Linked DNA regions of Daphnia pulex. The protein of the gene in region 1 purifies or fractionates together with the protein of each later gene. This does not show direct contact. Links are inferred from orthologs where the notes say so. Each region holds a gene or a part of one and is shown on either strand. Other genes may lie near its edges. The genes, in order: ribosome biogenesis protein WDR12 homolog and ribosome biogenesis protein BOP1 homolog.

Evidence for each region.
Region 2: the proteins of ribosome biogenesis protein WDR12 homolog (region 1) and ribosome biogenesis protein BOP1 homolog purify together in Homo sapiens (affinity purification with western blotting; 6 studies listed by BioGRID and IntAct, with this or other methods). This does not show direct contact. The link is inferred for Daphnia pulex from reciprocal best matches to the Homo sapiens genes WDR12 and BOP1.

Annotation. Positions count from the first base shown.
Region 1 is NC_060024.1:1,155,473-1,159,742, reverse strand, and holds ribosome biogenesis protein WDR12 homolog, read left to right. Parts: upstream 1-1,454; 5' UTR 1,455-1,736; intron 1,737-1,810; 5' UTR 1,811-1,943; coding exon 1,944-2,017; intron 2,018-2,078; coding exon 2,079-2,164; intron 2,165-2,217; coding exon 2,218-2,431; intron 2,432-2,491; coding exon 2,492-2,632; intron 2,633-2,701; coding exon 2,702-2,877; intron 2,878-2,948; coding exon 2,949-3,034; intron 3,035-3,118; coding exon 3,119-3,365; intron 3,366-3,433; coding exon 3,434-3,566; intron 3,567-3,624; coding exon 3,625-3,754; 3' UTR 3,755-3,802; downstream 3,803-4,270.
Region 2 is NC_060021.1:9,844,438-9,848,910, reverse strand, and holds the start of ribosome biogenesis protein BOP1 homolog, read right to left. Parts: upstream 2,831-4,473; 5' UTR 2,746-2,830; coding exon 2,674-2,745; intron 2,591-2,673; coding exon 2,258-2,590; intron 2,201-2,257; coding exon 2,049-2,200; intron 1,986-2,048; coding exon 1,765-1,985; intron 1,698-1,764; coding exon 1,134-1,697; intron 1,074-1,133; coding exon 861-1,073; intron 799-860; coding exon 521-798; intron 461-520; coding exon 361-460; intron 299-360; coding exon 103-298; intron 35-102; coding exon 1-34. Other genes in the region: protein charlatan-like, read right to left, coding at 3,120-3,375. UniProt on the Homo sapiens protein: Component of the PeBoW complex, which is required for maturation of 28S and 5.8S ribosomal RNAs and formation of the 60S ribosome.

The DNA.
Region 1 (4,270 bases):
TATATAGAATCCCGGTGTAGCAACTGCTTATTGTTGACGCCCCTTTTCGAGTGTTCCCCCTAATATTGCGTAACGACAGAGTGGGACAAAAGGGGAAAAATACCGATATTTATTGGTATGACAGTCGTGGGTGGAATAATTGACAGTTAACATCATTCATATAATCATAGCTCATTTTTTGTAATGCTTGAAATATTTCGTTGAATCTTTCCGTAACTTGCAATTTTATGAAAAGTACCTTATTTGCATTGCGTTGCCTTTGTTGCCCATGGGAAATCCCCCCGAAAATAATGAAATTTAAAGTTGGCAAACGGAATGAAAACTGAAATTTTAAAAAGTGAGCTTTGATTATACAAACGACGATAACTGTCTAGGGTTGTGGAAAGTGAATTTGCCCATGTAAATCGGCAAGAAAAATAAAGAAATGTTTAACGATAGTATTGCATGCCCTCGTTATTTATTTTCATGACGGGGAGAGACTCTTAAATCAACTCCGATTTGGGAGTTGACTACCGGTCTATACCGCTATGGGGGTAATTCTTTTAGTTTACACCCCTCAGGAAAACTATGCTTACAGGAAACGCTTTTTCAATGACAGCTAACAAAAGTAGGCATGATTTTATGTATAATAGTCACCTTTTCCACCCGACCCCCTTCAACTTATCTGGTATCTACCTGTCACCCTCCGCTAGTGGTCGGTAGAGGCGCTGCTTTTCAACGGAAACCGCCGTTGCCGACAATTTTGCGGGCAGCGGTCGACAGAGGCGCTACCTAGTCGCGTCTATTGGAATCAAACGACAATCAAGATTTCGAGTGAGGGATGAGAGTCCAGCTCTCATTATTACAACCTGTTACAAACCGTTAGCTCTAAAGCCTAGCGATAAATGATTTAATAATCAAAATTTCAAAAAGGCATTAAATCTCTTGCATGACATATGGCGGAACTTCCCGTCGATTAATACATTAAAATAATAAGACAACTTCAACTTTACCCAATGAATGGGTGGAATTTTTTTATTCGTTTAACAACTGGCCATTACTTGATCGAGAATTTTTTTAGTGTTCAATTCCTTGACGCCTATTGAAATTAAACTAAAACAGTAAAACTTTACACTGGTTCGTCTACTGAAATTAGACTAAGCGTCAAAATTAAGTTTGGTGCTGACTGACAAGGAAGTTAATGAACGAAGGTATTGAACAGGTTGCCGCCCAACTATAAGTGCAGTTCGCGCAAATCGTTCCATGAGTTTGGCACATAGTGTAACATTTTTTTCTCTCTGTACAGAAAATTTAAATTAAAAACAAAAACAAAAAAAAAAAAAAAAAAAATCTTCTATAAAAATTTTGATAGAGGAAATGATCGATGTAATTCAATTCTGGAATTGGGCCAGTCAGTTGAAGATATGGTGCCACGTCTCATTGGCATTGCGTCGCAAACCACCAAAAGACGCTTTGGAGCCTGGCTTATTATAGTCTTTAGACTTCAGAGGCCTAGACCGTAGACTCCTGGTAGACTCGCGTAGACTCACTAAGACGGGAACAATTTTTAGATTTTTTGCGTGTCTTTGTGTCGCTGCATGATTTAGCTTTAAAATATTGATAGAATACGAGTTATTTTATTTCTAGCCCCCTTCACAGTTCACACGTCATTTGAGTCAGATGTCGGATAAATGCAACAATTGCATGTTTATTATTCAAAAACTAGATGGCAGTCAAAAGCTTTACTTGGAGGAAGGGTAGGCGAAAAGGCTTCACTTTTTAAATTCCTATCGTTTCGGCTTTGTAAAAATATAGCAGGCTTTGATTACAGACGACTGAAAGTGCAAGAACACGTGGAGTCGCGGACCGAACATCAAAAGTGGTCTCATCCAAACCACACAATTATCGAGTGTTAAACTGTTAACAAACCTTTATTAAAAAGTAAACGTCATAAATTTCTTGCAATGGCGGCTTTAAAAAGAAGCTTGTTAAATGACGAAGGCCAGATTCAAGTGAGATTTGTAACGAAACAGGAGAAGTAAGTCTTTCTACCGAGTCCATTTGTTGCTCAAAATATTCATTCTTTTTTCTGATGACAGATATGCTCTCCCAGAAGCTCCATTTTCAATCCCTTCTGGAATAAAAGCAGACTCACTAAGTGTTTTAGTCAACAATTTGCTAAGAGGTAAATGATTTAAAATTTTCAAAATCATTAATACTAATAATTTTGTTTTTTAGAAACACACGAATCAGGATGGGATGAGGTAGATTTTGATTTTCTAGTATGCGGAGAATTTGTAAGGCTTCCACTTATTGAACATCTAAAACTGAAAGACATTAATACTGAAGTCACAGTTGAAGTAGAATACCTTGAAAGATTCCCTGCTCCAGAACCTGAAGATAGTTTGAATCATGATGACTGGGTATCTGCTTCCCACTGTTTTAAAGACTGGTATTACACTCATATCTTTAGTTGTCTTAAAATGTGTATGTACAATGCTAGTTATTTCAGGATCCTGACAGGGTGTTATGATAATACCTTGCATATATGGAAGACTGATGGTACTCATAAGTCAACTATTCCAGGGCACTGTGGCCCCATCAAAGGAGTACGATGGATTGAAGTGACTGGCTCAACTGCTACTTTTGCAAGGTATTTTTAGTTTCTTTGAATTAGTGATAATCAGCTTTAAAAAAAAAAAATTATTGTTTTTTTTTTTAGTGTTTCTCATGATCAGACAGTTATGCTGTGGAAAATGAACCTTGAAACTTATGCAATTGAATGTGTGCATATTGGAAGAGGACATGAGCGCTCCATTGAATGTGTAGATGTTGATAAGAATTCATCCTTCCTTGCTACTGGTGGTTGGGATAATATGCTTAAAATTTGGTCTGCCAGTAAGTGTAACATATTCTAATTAATGTATTCAGGTGTCTGTTTAAATTTAATGAATTCTTCTTTTTTTAAGCATCTGATTCAAATTCAACAAACGAAATTGATGATGGTGAAAAGGAAAAAGGATGCTCTACTGGTTCTGGAAAATCACTCAGACGTGTAAGTGTTTTGTATGAAGTGTCGCAACATTTTATACCTTCAGTCAAGCTAGAACAGACTAATTTCAATCATTATTTAATACAGACACCATTGATGACTTTGCCTGGCCACAAGGAAGCTATATCTTCTGTTGTTTGGACTGAAAACAATGAAATCTTTAGTTCTTCCTGGGATCACACCATCAAATTGTGGGATGCTGAATTAGGAGGATTAAAATCCGAAATTGTTGGGAACAAATCCTTCTTCTGCATTTCTCGTTCTCCATTAAACCAAACTCTTATCACTGCTTCAGCTGATCGTCATATACGTTTGTATGATGCCCGATCTCAAGGTACATCTGTTGCGCTTTATACCATTTTAATAGGCTCATTAATGATTTCCAATTTTTTTTTTTGACAGAGGGGTCAATTGTGAAAGCCACATTCACTTCACACGTTGGATGGGTATCAACGGTTTGTTGGTCTACGACACATGAAAGATTATTCGTATCCGGTGGCCATGATAACATTTTAAAGTTGTGGGATAGTAGGAGGCAAGTATTTGATAATTAATTGCGTGTTAATTCAATGAGAAATAATTTTTCTTTTCAGTCCCAAGGCTCCGTTATACGACATGACGGGACATGAAGGCAAGATCCTGTGCGCTGACTGGTCAAATCCTTCGATAATAATAAGTGGTGCAACGGATAATACGTTAAAGATCTTTAAATCTGAAGTATAAATTAAAATTGCCACCAAGTTGAGATAAACAAATTTTTGGAAACTGGAATGAATTAGTCTATTTTGGCCGTTAGTTAACTTTAAAACGAAGTATAGACATGGTGTATAGAGTAGTCAGTAGTCCAGTGACGCGTACCGCCGACAAGGCAACGTCGTACTAGCTATAATATAGCCTCGAGTAATATTTTTTTCTTCTGTATTTTTCGAATGGACTAAGTCTAGTTTTAATCCTATACATTTTTTCCTACCCATTTTTTTAAGTGATACAAAATTAATTGGATTGCATATTAACCAGTCACAGCGCTTGATACATTCTGCTTCAGCTGGATAGGTGTGCACTTCCAAGTTTCAACGACGCAATCTACTAGCTGCAAGGGGGCAAGCTTAACAACGCGGTCTGGAGAATTGTGTAGTCATAGTTTTAGGTATTAGTTTTACCAGCAGAATTCGTATTCTCAGAGTCATGAGTCGTATGTTCGAGATTTCCAGCAAAAGGTATCAGCTAACCAAGTATTTT
Region 2 (4,473 bases), on another chromosome or scaffold:
CAACGGGACAATTGTTGGGTTCTTCAACAAATCGCTATAAATTTAGAAAAATAAAAGTAATGAGAAGTTCAACAAACAAATTAAGTAATCAAGATGTCTTACTTGTAGACCATTCCATGTGAAACAATGGCAGAGCAATCGTCCGATCCAGAAGCGAAGAGAGGGTATCGTTTGTGATAGGCCACTGCACGAATACCTTGACCATGATGACGCAGAGCTTGATAAGGTTTAGTTGATAAATCCAAGTCGAACCAGCAAAGACGACGATCGTGAGTTCCTACGAGGATGTTGTCTCCACCTGTTACAAGTAGATGGATGAAAATTAGACTGCAAATAGTTGTTGGGAAGTTTGAACTTTACCTGGATGAACTGCAATCGAAGAAATCCATTTGGCTCCTGTCATTAATTTTTTGGTAAGTTCTTGTTTCAAAAGATTGTATACTCGAACGTGACGTTGTGTCTGCCAAAAAATCTCAAATTAAGCTTCAGTTAACGTGAAATTTAACAAACAAAATATTACCGCAACAAATAGATAAGGTCTAAGGGGATGGAACAGAGTGCACTGCACAAGTCCCTTGGATTTGCTAAAAGGCAACTGTGATCTGCGTCGAGAAAGTTGATGGATCAGCACGGATCGATTGTCACCTTCCGGCATGACCGACGAGAAGTAGTCGCCCTTTGAATGCCAGGCTACGTGTTTCACTGCCTTGAAGTGAGTAAGAGTAACACGGAATCCACTATCCCATTGAGCCTTATCAGGCTCGTTCCACGTCAAAACAGCACGAACTCGTTGAGGAACTGAAAAAAGAAGTAGTACGACATTTAAAAATGAACTGGAGCAGAAATAAAAATGAGCTTACTAAGATAATCTGTTTGCGCAGGCATTTCCTTGAGAATCTCATCTGTTTTGGCTTGGACAAGTCGATCTCCTACACCAGGGTTGATTAAATAGACGTTATTATCAACCGCAGCAGCCACCAGAGCAATAGACGAGTTCGGGCACCAAGAAACGCAACGGACAGTTCCTTTAACTTCAAAAGTCTTGAAACAGCGGCCAGTTGCAATCTCCCATACTGTGAAATAAAAATTGAAAATGGATGAAATGTTACCAAAAAATCATTTTATCAACTTACCCTTAAGTGTTTGATCATCGGAACCAGAAATAAAGAACTGGCCTGAAGGATCGTGACTAATAGTACGAACAAGTCCTTTGTGGCCCTTGAAAATCATAGAGCAGACCGTTGGGAACGGTTGGAGATCCCTTGGCTTAGGCAATTGCGGTACAAGATCTTCCGGTTGGATTGTCAAACGCATCTTCTTGGCACGAGGGCACAAATAAAGATCCAAGCAACGAACGAATCGCTCGCGAGCGAATCTGTCATAAGCTGGCACTGCTCTCAGCGAGCTAAACCGTTGGGGAATAAATGGGAACTTGCGCTGGTACGGAGTTTCGGCTAAGCGATTCCATTGATTGATTTCCCTTTCAGAAAAGGCGTACTCTGGAGGGGGATTGTAGGACTCGGCATGCCCCGGAAGTCGAGGTTTCGGAGCAGGGATAGGATTTTCAATACGACGAACATCCTCCGACTTGTCATCGGCATTCCAAAGCAAATAATACTTGTGCCGTTCAACGGATGTGTCTTTAGCCACACGAGGTTTCATCCAACCCATCTTGATAGCGTGCACCATTCGACCAACTAGAAAGTGTAAAAAAGGATTAGTCTAACTTGGAAACACGTTGATAACAAATCCACTAGCAGTCACCTTTAATAGCTTCAACTCTTGAGGGAATAAAAGATCTTTTATGTTCAGGTCTACCAGTAACAGGTGTTTCCATGACTTCGTTAGTGAACCAATCAACCCATGGTTCATAAGGGTTATAGCTTCCATCAGGTATTCTACTACCCATGACATTTTTGATGAGATCCACATCCTCATTACTCAAGATAACATCCTGGCCTGTCTGTGGATCATAAACTGTCCGCCTGTTGCAATATCAAAATAATTTAGTCAACAATCAAAGGGACAGTGCTGTGAAAAGTGTTTACCATGACTCTGGATTCTCCATTTTCCTCAAGAAATTGTCAATTTCATCTCCTCGTTTGGGTTTGAGAATTGCTTTTCCTTCCAAATCATAACCAATATGAGGATAGTCATTATACCAGTTCATTGGAATGTTTCCCACAGTGTTTCTCAAATCCTGAAGATAAAATGTTGTTTCAGAAACCAATATAGCACATTTTTAAAACAAACATACTTCCTCATCAGAAGAATCATATGCATATTCATCCTCTACAGGAGGAGCTGGCAGTTGGGCAGTAGACGTAGAGGGTCCATCTTGTGCGATGGGTACAGCAGTGGGTACCACTTTATTCTCCGCTGTGTCATCCTCACTATCCTCGTTGGTACTCATATTGTGTACTTCATCTCCCTCTTCTTCATCCTCATCACTACCTTCTTCCCAATCAGAATTATCTTCTTCGTCATCACTATCATCTTCCTCGTCATCTTCTAAACCGGAGTATTCACTAGATTCCTCGTCGGTGCTGTCATCGGCATTGTCGGAAACTTGTGCCTCAATTATGTCGTCCTAGAAACATGTAAAATACATGTCAAATACACAGAAAAAGAGGTAATTCATTTCCTAATCCAATTTCGGTGATTTCTACTTACCACTTCAGCGGAATTTTCATTGTTTTCAACAATTTCGAGGCGACGTTTAGATGATTTCGAAGCAGTCGCCATCTTCACCTTACGCACGTGTGTACTAGAGAAAGCGTTGCCAGATTTATTTTTATCATCCCTCTCGCGTATAAAAATGCCAACTAATCAATCGATACCTAAGAATATTTTTTTCTTTATATCATATGTCTTTTACTCTTTATTTTCAGCAGCATAGATGTAAACAATCGAATGTGATTTTTTTTAAATCGGCAACACTTAAATTGGCAGGGGTAAACATTCGATAAAAATTATAACGGGAACATTATTAAACCATAACGACGACCTGTGTAAATGAACGGATTACTTGAAGGCTACTCAGGTTAATTGTGCAAAATTACAAATAAAACGGATGTAAAATTATATATTCTTTCCAATAGATTGTATTGGCGAGTCCATCAGTTTTGGCAGGTTTCCATTGTACCATTTGTTGAACGGTGATGGTTTTCGGCCAAGTGGGCATGAATTAGGTTGCCATCGGTGGTACGGAAATCGCACAGTTCACACTGAAGCAGAATTTGATTAGGACGATTTTCCATCCCCACGACATCCGGTCCCGTTTCATCCATTTGATCCATCAGTGGCTTCTGCTGATTTGCCTTTTTGCCCTTGGCGTTGACGATACTCCTCTCCGATTTGACTACGGGATTCTGACTAAAACAAACTCAACATCAAACGTCATTTCTATTTTTGGGGGTTTCATCATCGGGTAGGTAATAATGTGTTGTATAACCCGTATTTGAATCAATTCAGTTTAAATAAATGACCTACCTCAGGGTGCCAAATTCCTCCACCAAAATAATAGAAAATCACACTTGTTGTGTAACTTTTGTTTTTGGCAGGGTTAATAATTGAAAAGACGTAGACAAGGCAATGAAATCTTTTGGCAGTGAAGCCGAAACAATTCTTGTCAAGGGAAACCCAAGCGACACACATAAAAGGACATGTTGAAAAAACCCCAGAATGACAAAATCCCATCAACGAAAAGAAGGAAAATGAAGCTCTTTGGCGTGTCCCAACAAAAATATTGCGGGAAGATTTGAAAAGTGCGCGAAACAAAAAAGTCGACCAGGGATCATAAAGAAATCCAAAAACAATCAGATACGACGAATAATGAATCGAAAAAAAAAACGGGATTTGTATTCTGTTATCTGTGTGTGTGAAAACGATTTTTGTACATTTTAAAAAGTGAGGAGGGGTAGGCAAAAAAATCGGGAGGATATCAAAGATCTTTTTTTTAGTCAATCGAGAAAAATTTTCAACATTGAAAAACTTCTTTATTAATTGAATTTTTTTTACAACTGCATAAGAAAATGAGGGAGAAAAAAAAATGAGATTATTAACTTTTTTTTTAATCTGTTGTTTATCTATCAAAATGATGGTGATATTTTATTTGAAAGGGCTATAAAGCAATTTGTTTTTCTGCTCGGAGCTAATAACAATTTGGCTCGCACTACAAAGAATTGTTTTACTAATTCCGAGTGCTAGATATTATTCTTTTTTGTCTTTTGCAAATTAGTTTCTCTATCGTAACTTTCGTCAGAATAGTTCTATTAATCACACACACACACTCTCACACAGACAACCACACACACACACATTCAGGAGGGGGGCGCATGGGGAAACAAAAAAGCGAAACAAATGACAGGTAAAATCTCTCAACACCCGAAATTCAAAAGAGTTAAATCGATCCGTCAATTCCCAACACGTCACAACATGGTTTGGATTTGGTGAAGGTGGTGGGGAGATTTT